Linked DNA regions of Caenorhabditis elegans. The protein of the gene in region 1 interacts with the protein of each later gene in a pairwise test. Each region holds a gene or a part of one and is shown in the gene's direction. Other genes may lie near its edges.

What was found.
Region 2: the proteins of F41H10.4 (region 1) and lin-10 interact in a two-hybrid assay, tested with the Caenorhabditis elegans proteins (one large-scale study listed by BioGRID).
Region 3: the proteins of F41H10.4 (region 1) and F10B5.2 interact in a two-hybrid assay, tested with the Caenorhabditis elegans proteins (one large-scale study listed by BioGRID).

What each region holds. Positions count from the first base shown.
Region 1 is NC_003282.8:5,362,802-5,367,425, forward strand, and holds F41H10.4 (GRIP domain-containing protein), read left to right. Parts: upstream 1-1,757; 5' UTR 1,758-1,758; coding exon 1,759-1,932; intron 1,933-1,977; coding exon 1,978-2,103; intron 2,104-2,150; coding exon 2,151-2,298; intron 2,299-2,350; coding exon 2,351-3,192; intron 3,193-3,240; coding exon 3,241-3,354; intron 3,355-3,406; coding exon 3,407-3,569; intron 3,570-3,618; coding exon 3,619-3,779; 3' UTR 3,780-3,950; downstream 3,951-4,624. Other genes in the region: hda-6 (histone deacetylase), read right to left, coding at 130-684, 735-1,009, 1,053-1,340, 1,385-1,420; sand-1 (Vacuolar fusion protein MON1 homolog), read left to right, coding at 4,067-4,257, 4,316-4,470.
Region 2 is NC_003279.8:8,116,074-8,121,031, reverse strand, and holds the start of lin-10 (Protein lin-10), read left to right. Parts: upstream 1-1,717; 5' UTR 1,718-1,718; coding exon 1,719-1,869; intron 1,870-2,514; coding exon 2,515-2,753; intron 2,754-3,352; coding exon 3,353-3,442; intron 3,443-3,650; coding exon 3,651-3,702; intron 3,703-4,165; coding exon 4,166-4,389; intron 4,390-4,958. UniProt on the Caenorhabditis elegans protein: Required specifically for the determination of 3 vulval precursor cell fates P5.p, P6.p and P7.p during late second and early third larval stages; required for basolateral localization of receptor tyrosine kinase let-23.
Region 3 is NC_003280.10:8,142,997-8,147,956, forward strand, and holds F10B5.2 (Protein AAR2 homolog), read left to right. Parts: upstream 1-1,765; 5' UTR 1,766-1,804; coding exon 1,805-2,006; intron 2,007-2,052; coding exon 2,053-2,144; intron 2,145-2,189; coding exon 2,190-2,534; intron 2,535-3,667; coding exon 3,668-3,898; intron 3,899-3,950; coding exon 3,951-4,154; 3' UTR 4,155-4,240; downstream 4,241-4,960. Other genes in the region: ints-11 (Integrator complex subunit 11), read right to left, coding at 1-50, 102-232, 275-301; rpl-10L (Large ribosomal subunit protein uL16), read left to right, coding at 888-1,133, 1,182-1,364, 1,411-1,626; btbz-2 (BTB domain-containing protein), read right to left, coding at 4,367-4,697.

The sequences.
Region 1 (4,624 bases):
ATATAAAATACGTATTCCTGCTGCAGATTTAGCGAAATTCGGTTTTTTTTTAACTTTGAAATTTTCCTAATGAAATTCGCCCGTTTTGGGGTGATTTCGGGTCTAATTGAGCCCAAATAGTCAACGTACATCGGCCACTGAGCCAATCTTAGTGAAGTCCGAGACGGAAAATAGTCGAAGCAGTTCCAATGATGTCGAAGAACGGAAACAAGGCTAACACATGAATCAACCGTACTTTCTTTCGGTGCTTCATTCAATTCAATTGAAAATGGAGCATATCCGAGCAGTACTCTCACACATCTTTGAACAGCGACTGCAGAGATTTGATGATTGTAACCTCCTTCCAATACGACCAACATTCTTCCCTGTGCAAGTGATTTCAGATGATATAAAATATGTGAATAACCATCAGGTGTAAGACACATTCCACCTAAAGGATCACCGAGAAGTGCGTCGAATCCAGCAGAGATTATCACAAAATGTGGATCAAACTGAGTTGCAAGAGGAAGTAGAACATGGAAAATAATCGATAGATAATCAGAATCAGTGCATCCAGTTTCATTTAAAGCCAGATTTGCGTTGTATCCCAATCCCTTTCCTGATCCAATATGATCAAAATCTGATTCGGGAAGATGAGGCCAAAAGAGACCATGTTCGTGGCGATGAATTGAGAAATATAGTACTCTGAAATTCATTGAAGAAAATTATTATTTCACTATAAAATCCTTTTTAACCTTTTATCATCATAAAAAATCCGCTGAGTTCCGTGTCCGTGGTGTACATCCAAATCGACAATCAAAATCCGTTCGGCTCCACTGAAAAATGCTTCTTCGGCGGCTTGGGCGACATTATTGAATAAGCAGAAACCACAAGGCGATACAGAATCTGCATGATGTCCGGGTGGCCTGACGACTGCAAAACCATTCGAAGCTTCATTAGCCATGATTCTATTCGTCAAATCTCGAACACACGCGACACCATCTTTGGCAACTTTCATCGAGTTCTGAAACTTTATTCTCAACGTTTTGTGCTTCTTTTTACCCAATTAATACCTCTGTCATAAACACGGAATCATATTTTTCGCACTGTGAATTAATATCTTCTTGTGTTTTCTTTTCAGATTCCATTAAATCTTTAACCATGCTTTTATCGTGGGTTACTTCCAAGTCAGCATCGTCGATCTCCAGAAAATTTGTTAGTACAGTGCATTTTTCGAGTATTTTCGTCTTTGTTAATGCCTCTTTAATCTTCAAAATTCGATCCGAAGACTCCGGATGTGTTGGGCATACTGTATTCTCATGTTCATTTTGAGTTTGATTGAATCCGATGAGTGTTGGACCCTGTAAATAGATTATATGATTGTACGAACATATACTTTTCTTACCGTTGATCGATTTTTCTGCCTATCTTCGAAAAGCATGGAAAACTAAACGATAAATGTTTGAATAACCGCTAAAAGTCTAAAAAATCCTGTGGAAAAAATGTCCTCGTGATGGCCGTGGACTAGAATATTCAACTCAAGGCTACGGCCATCTGTGCACTTTACCGTCAAGTCGCGTGTGTTCTGACCTGTTTTGCATTTTGTTTATGTTTTTTTGTTTTTGTGTTATGCATCAATAAGAGTAATTGGACAAAAACATGAAATATCAAGTTTTCTTTGATTTTTCCAACCGCCTTGTGTAGATTTATAGTTCGTTTTTTAAACGTTTGCTCCTAAACACCCAATTTATGTATTTTACGTTGCAAACTTTTTGCAGAATGGCGACAGAGTCGGGTGGCTTGTCGAAGGAGGAATTCCTTCTTGTTCAAGAGCAACTTTTGCAGCTGAAAAATGAAAATTACGAGTTACGAGAGGAGATTAAAAAGAAGAACGCAGCAGCTTCCCAACACCAAAACTCTCCGAAAAATGAAGCATTGCAATTTGCTAGCAAGGTGAGGAAAAGTTTATTTTTATTATAATTAATTTAAATCTTTCAGTTAATCAACAGAGCATCTTCTTCGAAAAAAGATGAAGCAGAAATTGAGTCGCTTCGGCGGAAACTAGAGACCCAAGAGCAAGAGTTTCGCCTTCAACAATCTACCCTTTTTGAAGAGCTCAAGACAGTAAACTTTACATTTAAAATTCAAGCTTTTCAATGTCCAAATTACAGATATCCACACAAAATGAGACATTAAAGAATCAAATGTCGTCTTATTCTGATCATCCTCTGGAAAAAGAAGCAGAAGAAAGGCAAACAGTGGAACAATTAAAAGAAGCTATTAAAAATTTAACAGACGAAAAAGTTTTGCTATGTCAAGGTAATTTTATTCCAACTTTGTTCAATACAATTAATTGTATAAAAGGTTACAGAAACAATTCCTGCTATAAGCAACAAAGTTACAAGTCTCAGTGAAGAACTTGAAAACTGTCAGACATTGAACGTCGAGCTTGAAGATCGTTTACTCTCAATAACTTCAGAATCCGAAGCTATTCTTAAAATTAAGGAGAAGGTTGTCGAGGAAAATTTGCGAATTAGGAAAGAAATTGAAGAATTACGCAGAGAAAATGAAGGGATTGCTGAAAAAATGAAGGAGAGTAACAATGCAGTGATGGATGAAAATAAAAAGCTTTCTGATGATAATCTGGAATATAGAAAGACAATGTTGAGTCAGAAATCTGAAATTGACAGTTTAAAAGCTGAGAATTTTAAACTCGTCTCTGAAAATCAACTAAATCATGACGTTTCTAAAAACCTTGCTGCTCTACAATCAGAAAAACTAAAGCTGACTGAAATATCTCAACAAGAAATATCAGGTTTGAAAAAAAAGATCGAAGTTTTAAAATCGGAAAATCATCGTCTTTCGTCTCAAATCCAACAGAACACTAATGAAGCTGCAAAGAACCACGAAAAACTTTTAGAAGACCGAGTACTTCTTCTCGAAACTCGTTATCAATTGGAAGTTGATGATCTTAAAAAGAGTTTTGAGTCGGATAAAGAATGTTTCCTTTTGAAAATGACGAGTTTAGAGGAGAAGCTGAAATCAGCGGAAGAAGACAAGAAGCTCGCAGTGAAAAAAGCAATGTCTCTTGTGAAAGAGCTACAAAAATCATTAAAAGAAGAGAGAAAACGAGCTGATTCTTATGAGAGAAAAAGCGAAGAAAGAGCTGGATGGCATGTGGTTCCACCAGAAAATGATAGGCAAAGTAGTCATGTAAGCACATTTAATCAAGGACTAACATATATTCATCAAATTTTTCAGACTTTCGACGGAAACGAAAGTGTTTCATCAATGTCGGCAATCGAATCGGAGAACGTTGAACTTATCACTCGTCTAGCCACGTTACAAAAGATTCATTCGGAAAATGCAGATTCCGTAGGATCTTCTTTGCAGAATTCTTTGAAATATTGGAATAATCATCTTTCAGATTCTCCAACTCGAATCAGAAAATAGTCGCTTGCGACGGGAAGTGACGGAAAAAGGAGAATTAATTGAGAATTTGATCCGCGAAAAACCTCTTGGCACCGGATTTCAACAACAGAATAATCTGGGTTCTTCTTCTTCTTCTTCTGTTCAACCGAAACTTGAAGGTTTAGCTTCTAAAATTTTCATTTTTTTAAATACTGAAAATTATTCCAGCGTCATTCCGAAAACTGCTCAATACACTTGGCCAAGATTCCCGAGATTCAGATGTCCGTGAAATGAACAAAAAGCTGCAAAGAATGCTTGAAGAGACACTTTCTAAAAATATAATTCTTCAGAGAGACTTGCAAACTATTATGGAGAGAACTGGCTTGTAGATTTATATCTTTTTTTAAAATTTCTATTGAATCCGTGTGTGCATATGTAGATATTGTTACTGAAACCATTGCATTTTTTTTTCTGTATTTTTTGCTGAAATTTCAATTGATCTAATTTTCCAATTAAGCATTTTGTATATTCTTTGTGCATAATAATTTTTTAATTTTCAGTTTCCCATATTATTTTTTTATTTTCTCTCTGTCTGGTTCTCATTTTTTGAATCCACAGCAATACTTAATTCTTGAAAAAACATGAAATTTTCAGAAAAATCTCGCCAATTTTCAGAATGGAAGTAGAAGTACCTGGTGGATCAGAAGCTGCCGATACTGGAAGTGAAGCGAGTTATAAAGTGTCACAAGTAGAGATTGAAGATGTTGAAGAGAATTTGAAAAATGCTGATGTGATATTTGAACATCTTGAGCAACTTCCATTTCAGGTGTTTATTCTGAGCGAATTTGGAAAACCGATTTTTGTAAAGTGAGAATTTGCAAATATTATCCATTCAAACACACAAAGCCTTCTTTAAAAATTACAGCAACGATCGAAATGAGGGTGAAATCGTCAGTTTGGTGGCTCTAATTTGTGCATTTGTGAGCCGATGCCAATCTTGGGGTGATAGTTTGATGACGATGACGTCACAGGATAATCACATTCAATTTTTACACAAATCACCGCTTATTTTCTGCGTTGGTAAGAATTTTATGCAATGGAAACGCGCTCCGCCCCCGAAGCATGGGTCTCGTTAGGAATTTACCGGCTAAATCAAGAATTCAAATGTTTTCAGTTCGTTTCGCCGATTTGGCAAATTGCCAAGATTTTTTCGTCTTTTATGCTTTCTGTTACT
Region 2 (4,958 bases), on another chromosome or scaffold:
CATCTTTATATACTCTCTCGTTCATCTACCAGTTTTGTATTGTCCATTCGTCCATCACAAATTCCCATTCATCCCGTCATCTGGTGTATTCTTTCCGTTTTTGATACTTTTTTGTCTGTGCCCTGGAAAAGAGTTGGATGGAAAGAGAGAGTGAAGGAAAACGATGGAAAAGAGCAGAATTAGCATAATTATGACACTTTTTCTCTCGCCTCTTCCCTATTTTTCTCAACCCCGCGCTGCTCGAATGAGAAACGTCTCGAATAGGTTTTAAAGCTTCAACTTTTTACTGTTCTAATGTTTTCATTTATTTCCAAGAATTTAGTTGATCATTCACGATTCCCATGGCTTAGGTCAAAAATTAGAAATACTTTGCGGAATTCTATCACAATGCAGTTATATTTTCACATTTTTAGAACTTGTCCTAAAATACAAGAAGTTATCTTTATTTTCAACATCTGGAAAAAATTCGTTTTCAACATCTAAAGCGACAATTGGAAAATTGTCAATTGAAAGTCATTTAGTTAGCGGCTTACATTAATACAATTGTTTGGTTAAACATATTTTTCAAACGCCCTCAAAAGTCCAAAAAGCACTCGATATTTTGGAGATTAGCAAGCACGGCATAAAAGAAACAGCAAAAAAAGAAAACGACACGTGTCATATATTTGGCTGAGAAAGTAGGGATTAGAGTGTCGAAGAAACATGACAAATGAATTGGCATTCAGAAGACGTGCATACATGGCACGACATATTGCTTCGGGAACTCCTTACACTGCATTTTTTGGTTTCCTCAATGTATATTTTGTTTCACGATCAGTCTCCGCTTGTTGTTCTTTTTTCTTATGCTCCAGTGGGAAAAATGTTAAAAACTACACCTATAGTGCACCCATGATGAAAATATCATTCTAACACTTTCCAACATTTTTTGAAAATGTTATATTTACATTAATAGCAATTAATCAGTTTCCACCTATCATAATTGGTCCAATACATTGTTTAATTTTAAGTTCGCTTCAATTATTTACAAGTGAACCTAGAACCTAGGTCTTCGCATTTGCAGCATTGCTCTAAATTAATGAAAAACTCCAATTTTTTTAATTGGCAATTTACCAACATTTTCATTTGAAAGTATTTTATTTAGATATAATAATAATAATAATTTATTACGCTCGCTGGGAGACGTGAAGGAATACAGAATACAAAAGTTATCATTGTTCGCTTGTACTAGAATTGGTGCAGTCGGGCAATTGTTTCCATTCCATTAGAATGTTGTCCTTGTCCTTGCGTTGTCCTTGCGTAGACTCCCCCATAGTGGGCGAGCGATTCCCGAGTGAAAATATGTAGATTTTTAGATATGTAGATATGTAGATATGTAGATTTTTTACTACATAATTGTAAGTCTGTGTAGATTCGAACTCCATGTTGTGTTACAGTACTTCCGAACACGATCTTAAAACTTTTTGAGCATCTCCCATTTTCTCATTTTAGGAAAAAATTTAACTTATAACTTCGAGGTGACAATTGTTAATTCTAAATTTTCCCACGTTAACTCTCTCTCTGTCTGCTTCTCTCTTGTCCCTCTTCTTCATCGCTCTAATTAATTCGCGTGTGAGACGAGAGAAGAGCATCCAATAATCCATGTCCTTTTCCCGCTTCCTCTCTCTTTCCCTCATCTTCCTATCTATTTTCCATCGGACCATGAACAATTCTGTTGCAGGATGTCATCTGAAGCAGTAGCACAAGCCACAGCCGCCACGACGTCTCCTGAACACGGGGTCCCCACATCATCGGCCACGCCTACTCCTCCGCCGAGCAAAGGGGGTGGAGCCGGTGGTGGTGGGGGAGGAGAGCAACAACAAGTCCCATTTCGTTAGTTTTACAAGAGATTTTGAATTAAAGTGTAAACAAATATACCAGACTTCAAGTTTTTTGAGTGTCATTTTTCAAATTTAGATGGTGTGTTTAAATATTCCCGGATCTTCAAAAATCTGATGTTTAGATATTTGAAAAAGCAAGACAAAATCAAATCAGTTAAAAAAAATATGAAAAAAACACAATAACACAGAAAAAAGGCTCTGAAATCCAGATAGGTTCAGTCTGATTTGCCAGCCCTAGTAAGACTATATTAACTTTTCGTAAGGAATTGCTCCTTCGTTTTGGTCAACCTTTCCTCAAATATTTTCACTCGAAGAATAAGAAAAAATAGAGGGGATATTATTGTTTTTCGAACCTTCTCGATTAAAAATTCCCTGTCTTCTCCTCTTCTTCTTATTTTTCCCCGCCGCCGCCTGACCACAAAAATAGGCTATTATTCATATGGCTGGACGTCTTTCATGTTGCCTTCCCTACAAAAATCTATTTTACACGGAAGTATAAGAAAATATTTTAAATATATTGCACTAGGAAACTTCTGTGCACAGAATGAAAATGTATGACATTGGTTATTTATATTTGCTTACTTAACACAATTAAAATAGGAAAAGCTTGTTCTTCAATATATTCGATTTTTTACAGAAATGATCCCTCCTGGTCATTTTTTCGCAAATCCCTTCTTGAATCCGTATATTCCAACAGCGGGTGCTCCTGCTCAGGAGGGTGAAGCTCAACCTCAGATGGTATTCTCTCCAGCTCAATATCAGGAAGTCATGCATCATTATTTTCAACAAATGATGGCCGCGAGTGGAGCACAGTTTCCGATTCCGTTTCCCATGCAATTTCAGCCGGCTCTTCAACAGCCAAGACCTTCTTCTCAGGTTTGTTTTATAAAGCGTTATTTTACAAAAACAATTGAAACACTGTCAATTTTTCATTAGAAGCAGTTTTTAAAACTGGGGTTGATAAGCTTTAAAAAAATGAAGGAAATGACATTAGTCATCAGAAAATGTATGTTTCGCAATTTTGGAACATTGTTGTACAACTAGAAAAGTTGCGAAATTTATTTTTGCAGAAAGAACTATTTTTAGAGCTCTCGAAATTGTTTTATTCACAATAAAAACATGTGAACTGGAAAAACCATATAATTTTCTGATTTGGCGAATTTGCCACAATATAATAACCTAAGACATTACATGCTTATTGGATGTTTGATGATGCATGGCTGACACCCGCTCGAGGCGTGTGAGAGGCGCCTCCGTCACTCTCTGCCGGCTAGAAATTCTAATTTTGATGTAACCTAGTCAAGCTCACAAGAAGTTCACAAATTCTTATTACAAAGTTATGCTTCTGCATTGATGCAGAACAGTATTTGATATTTCTAGACATTGAAATAGATCTAGAAATATATTACCAAAAGCAATGCATTTATGGCTCCCAAAATTCTCATCTGCACTTCATAACCTTCAAGTATTCTCAGGCATCATCATCTCATCGCTCAGAAGACGATAACGGAAGGCAGACAGCTGGCAGTGTTGTGTCCTCTAATGTGTCACCAAATCATCGAGAGGTTCGTTTACGGCAGAGCCCAAACACTTGAACTCACAAGCAAAACGCTGGAAATTAGGCGAAGTGATGACTTGGGGAGCTTCTTCATGTTCTTCCTGTAGCTCTAAAATAAATAAATGTGGTTCGGGAATTTAAAAGATAAAATTTTAAAAAATGTTCATTAAAATATACTTCTAGTTTAGAAATCAAACTCAGTCTTTAATTTTTAGGTGAGACCAGCAGAAGATTCTACGGAAACAAGCGGCGTTGTTCAAAATAATGGTTAGTTGGTTTTTCACTTTTAGAAATTCAGGCCAAATGCCAGAAGATCAGTCATTATCTCAAACGTTTGGCGTACAGTTTTCACAGAACGTATTAAGTTTCCTTCTTCGTCTAGTGGAATGTAAAACTCCAACTTTAAAAATTTCGAATAAATTGCATTTTCCAAAAGTTCTTCAGAAAATCTTCAAAAAAGATCCAGCATGTATCTCATTTGTCACAAGTGAGCATGTAACACGAGAACATTTTGGTGAGAAGAAGAGACAAGAGAGATATCTCTGCGTCTCTTATCATCTCACACTCTCTCTTTTTGCTCAGCCGATTTACTAATTGTTCCATGTCCGAAAGGAGTTGTACGTCTCCCACCATCATGTCTGGACGGAACTTAGAGACCACACGAAAAGTTGAAGGGATTTCCCCTGAACATTTTTCTAATTGTCAATTTTCAAACCTAAATATGTTTCAGATGAGCTTCTTGTACCAACTTCCACGTCATCCGATGTGACAATTGGTGACGTCATCGAAAAATCAGATTCTCCTGAAAATTCGCAAGAATCAGCGGGAGGAGAGGAGAAAAGTGAAGAAAAGCGGAAATTATCCGGTGATCGAACGGATTCACTCATTCGAAAACAAATGAGTGAAATGGAAAAAGAGATAACACGACGATCACAGAATAAAAATATTAAAACGGTATGTCGTTCGGTTTCGGAATTTTGAGAATTAATTCTTGAAAAAAAAAAGTTTTTCACTGAAATCTATGATCAAAGTTCCTAAAGCCAAATGTGAAAAACTCAATTTATGGAGTCACATAGTATGCGCATAGAATGTGCAAGAAACCTCCAACTTTCCCAAAAATAACAACTGTTTTCGAATATTTGGAATATGCCAAAACTTTGACACAAATTTTTGAAAAAACCTGAACATTTTTGGCTGTTGTTTTATTTCGATAGACCTTTTTTCTTTTAGACCTTTCTACATGTTTTGGCAAAATTTCCACTGGCGCTACACCACTTTTAAACAATAAGCATTAGACCATTAGAACTGTGAACTTTAGATATCGAGGCCAACAAAAATTCGAATATTTTTCCCTTTGGAACAATTGTCTCTTTCTGCACATCCTCGTAACAAATCAAATAATCTAATTTTTGTCTATCTACAACTCTCTTTTTCTACTAAATCTTTTTTGGAGACTCCTGCCCAATTTCACAAATGCACTCACTCACTTCTTCTTCTCCTTCCTTTCTCTTATTTTTTGGCCC
Region 3 (4,960 bases), on another chromosome or scaffold:
TGATGACACAATCTAGGTAATCAGTTAGTCTTCCACCTCCACCAATATACCTGAAAAAGTTATTATTTTAGATTTGAATTGAATAAGCTTGCAGAACTTACGAAAAGTCAGGAAATCTTCGATCATCTTGGTATCCCATATGCATTCCACAATCTACCATAATATTCTTTCCACCGATAGTAATAAGAATACACGACCGTCCAACATCTTGTCCCGCACCCAGTGGAACAATCTAAAATTGTATTTTTTTTCAGAAAAGTCCTTCAGAACTCACCTTGATTTCAGGAATTTTGTCGGGCATTGTGAAATATAGCTATAAAGTTCTAAAAATACTCAATTTTAGCCTTGAGTAATGAATTAATTGCAAAAAATGCCTTCGCGAAATAGGATTTTAATGAAAAATCTTTTTTGTTTGTCCGAAATTTCGAAATGAGTACGGTGCACAAATGTCGTCAATTGTTATGCTTTGTATGTAGTTCACCGACGGCAGTGAACATTAGTGTTGTCCTCAATTTCTCTTTGGCCTAAAATTTTTCTCTCGATTTTCTCTTGAAGCAGTGGATTTTTTGCCTTTTTGTTTTATTTTATACATTTTTTTCTGATTTATCATGATTCAAACGTCAGTTATTTAAAACTATAGCTCTCATTGTCTTAAATATTGCAAACGAAATTTGTTTGAATCATTTCGAAATTCGAAGTCATGTTTGATATTGTTTTCCTATTATCCACTGTTTTTAGTTCTCGAATCAATAATGCTTTGACAGTATTTCGAAATAATGATGACAATTCTTGGCGTGATGGTGACAAAACATGTTCTTTGATTCTCTTCTATATATATATATTCTCCGTTTGTCGTAATTTATTGTAGTCTTCTCAATTTTCAGAACATGGGTAGACGTCCAGCGCGGTGCTACCGCTATATCAAGAACAAGCCATACCCAAAGTCCCGCTTCTGCAGAGGAGTTCCGGACGCGAAGATCAGAATCTTCGATTTGGGAAACAAGAGGGCTAACGTTGACACCTTCCCAGCATGTGTGCACATGATGTCCAACGAGCGTGAGCATCTTTCCTCTGAAGCTCTCGAAGCCGCCCGTATTTGCGCCAACAAGTACATGGTCAAGAACTGCGGAAAGGTAAGACAAGGATTTAGTTCAATTTTTCATCCAACCTGTATTTTGTAGGACGGATTCCATCTCCGTGTTCGCAAGCATCCATTCCACGTCACCCGTATCAACAAAATGCTTTCCTGTGCCGGAGCTGATCGTCTCCAAACTGGAATGCGTGGAGCTTACGGAAAGCCACAAGGATTGGTCGCTCGTGTCGACATTGGAGATATTCTTTTCTCCATGAGAATCAAGGAAGGAGTAAGTTCCTCCACTAGAAATATCAGGTGCTAATAATTGTGTTCAGAACGTCAAGCACGCTATTGAAGCCTTCCGTCGTGCCAAGTTCAAGTTCCCAGGACGTCAAATCATCGTCTCTTCCCGCAAGTGGGGATTCACCAAGTGGGATCGCGAAGACTACGAGCGCATGCGTGCTGAAGGAAGACTCCGCTCCGACGGAGTTGGAGTTCAACTCCAACGTGAGCATGGACCACTCACCAAGTGGATTGAGAACCCAATCTAATTTGGTATCCACTGTATTTGTTGAAAGCAAATAAATAATTTCTTATGTTATATTTTTCTTTGTTGTTTTTCCAATCATGTAAAATTCGTCAAGGTATTATGCGGGTAGATCTATAGATATAACATGCACTACGTTTTAGATGAGCGACAACACTGCGATCTTGCTTCAAGCTATGCGAATGGGTGGCGCATTGCCTCCTGAAATTGTAGACTACATGTATCGCAATGGAGCTTTTCTTCTTTTTCTGGGATTTCCGCAGGCTTCAGAGTTCGGTATTGACTACAAATCATGGAAGACGGGAGAAAAGTTCATGGGTCTGAAAATGATTCCGCCTGGAGTTCATTTTGTTTATTGCAGCATTAAATCTGCTCCAAGAATTGGTTAGATAGCGACAATATTACATTTTGTGAAACATTTTACTTTCAGGATTCTTTCATAACTTCAAAGCTGGGGAAATTTTGGTAAAGAAATGGAACACAGAGAGTGAAACATTTGAAGATGAAGAAGTTCCAACTGATGTAACTATTTAAATTCATAAATTCTATGTCGTAGTATGTTTTCAGCAAATCTCTGAAAAGAAGCGTCAACTGAAGAATATGGATTCATCACTAGCCCCCTATCCATATGAAAACTATAGAAGCTGGTATGGTCTTACTGATTTTATCACGGCCGACACTGTCGAAAGAATTCATCCCATACTTGGTCGTATCACTTCACAAGCAGAGCTCGTCAGCCTTGAGACTGAGTTCATGGAAAATGCAGAAAAAGAGCACAAAGACAGTCATTTTCGAAATCGAGTGGATCGAGAGAATCCAGTTCGGACGAGATTCACAGATCAGCATGGATTACCGATTATGAAGATTCGAGAGGGATACGAAATTCGATTCCAAGATATACCACCTCTCACGGTAAATTTTTTTTCGTTTTTGCTTTAAAAATATAAATTTTCGAGTTATGAGAAAAGTTTTAAAATTAGTTTTTTTATATTACCCAGACACAGTGTTGCGATTTTTGTGCCTAAAATTATTATCCGGGGTCAACACCAGGGCTGAGCAGCCGCCCAAAAAAAATCGGCGATCGGCGATCACAAATTGCCAAAAAAAAATCGGCGATCGCCGATTGCCGATCAGTGTGCGTCTAATTTTTTTCAATTTTAAAATCCTAATTTTAAGAGCTCTTTCAAATAATTTTTTATAAAAACAGGAATATTAGGCAACGAAAAGCACTCCTTGATACCTTAAAATTCGAAAAGTAGTGAAAAATAGTCCGAAAATATACCTTCTTCCTTCTTCAGAGGGGTCTATCTTGGACTATAAAATTTCATCGGCGATCGCCGAAAAATCACGAAAATCGCCGATCGCCGATTGCCGCTCACCCCTGGTCAACACGACAAATTTTTGTTGAATCCTTTTAAAGAGTACTGTACTTTCGAACTCGTTTCTTCGGAATTTTCATCGATTTGTCATAGTTTTTCGATGAAATTTTTTATCTACTGAAAATCGTAAGAAAGATTATGCAAAATCGACGAAATTTCTGCAGCTTGTAATTCAATCGCACTTTCCAAAAAATTTGTCGTGTCGAGACCGGATACTGTATCGGATTTTCTAAACAAAAAAAACCTGAAATTTCGCGCATGGGTAACATCTATAAATATGCTATATTCAAAAGGTTTCTTTTTAAAAACATCTTAGTATCCATTGAACACGATATTACATAGCTAAATATTTAAATTATTTTCATTTAATGTCGGAACCAGTAAAAAAGTTGATTTGAAATACTAATTCCTGTATGAGTAATTTTTTTAATGAAATTTACAATAATTCCAGTTTTGTCGAAAAACTTATTTCTAAAAAAAAATTTTATAATGCTTTTTAAAGTTTAATGTTGTTTTTTTTCTTTGAGAAAAAAATTATCAGAGTTCCGAATTCCATGGGAAATTGCTTGAAATATGGCAAATCTATTTAGTTTTCTGTCTTGTAATAAAAAAATAAAATTGTTTTTTCTAAAAATGTATTTAAAAATAAATATAAAAATATTTCAGGTTAGCCAGAATCGAGTAGGAATTGAATATTCTGATCGTCTTTACCGTCTTCTTCGCGCTCTCGGTGGTGATTGGAAGCAATTGCTGGCTGAAATGCAAATTGCATTTGTTTGTTTTCTGCAGGGACAAGTTTTTGAAGGATTCGAGCAATGGAAACGAATTATTCATTTGATGTCGTGTTGTCCAAATTCATTAGGCTCTGAGAAAGAGTTGTTCATGTCATTTATCAGAGTAAGAACATACGGAACACAATTAGAAAATACTTCAAATACATAAATTACAGGTTCTCTTCTTCCAACTCAAAGAATGCCCCACTGACTTTTTCGTCGATATTGTTTCTCGTGACAACTTTTTGACAACTACTCTCTCAATGTTGTTCGCCAACGTCCGAGACTCTGCACACGCCGGTGATGATTTGAAAAAGAAGACTGCCCAATTCAAACAGTATCTCACGAATCAATTCAAGTGGGATTTCAATTGTGATTAATATGAAGATCTCTCGTGGAAAATTGCATCTCAATTTAAATATTTTTTTTTAATTGGTTTATTGTAAAAAAAGAATTTTGAAAATACAAAGGCACTGGGTATTTAGAAAGAAAACGTGAACCAATTTCAGAGGTTGGGGGATCACAAGCATCTAAAGCCCTAACAAAAAAATGAAGTAGTAAAATATAGGTCATGATTTGGAAGAAGATCAATTCAATTAGATAATGGAGTATTTAAGTGAAGCATTAATGACTGATCAATTAATGGTTTCACATCTAAATCAATATCAGTTATCATTGGTTCACCATCACTACTACTTGATGTAGATGTTTCTGAAGAATTATCTGCAAGTAATCCTGAACATTGTGCAAGTTCCTGAGCATGCTGCATTGCCAAATGAATGAACAGAAGATCTGTGGAGTGAGTGGAGAACGGGCACAATGAGCATTGAATCGGAATATTTCCAGCTGGATTTGTTGGAGCAAAGATTGAGGAAACATTCGGATCAATGACGTCAGTAGTCATTGTTGGAACAATTTTCTTTCTGAAATTTGGAAGATATCTTCATTTCATTTGTCTCAACTGATCGCCCAACCAAAAATCTTCGTGTTTTTCCCCCCAACTACTACTACTTCCCCGTTCTGTTACTATCCGAAAAAATCCAGTTTTTTCTTGTCTTCCGAATTCACTCGTTCCGATATATTTTCAGTAAAAACTGAAAACATAGCGCGTGCGAAGATAGACTATAAACAAACATCGCGAAAATTAAAGATGACTTTAAAAGTTTGAAGGGAACCAAAGTTTTCG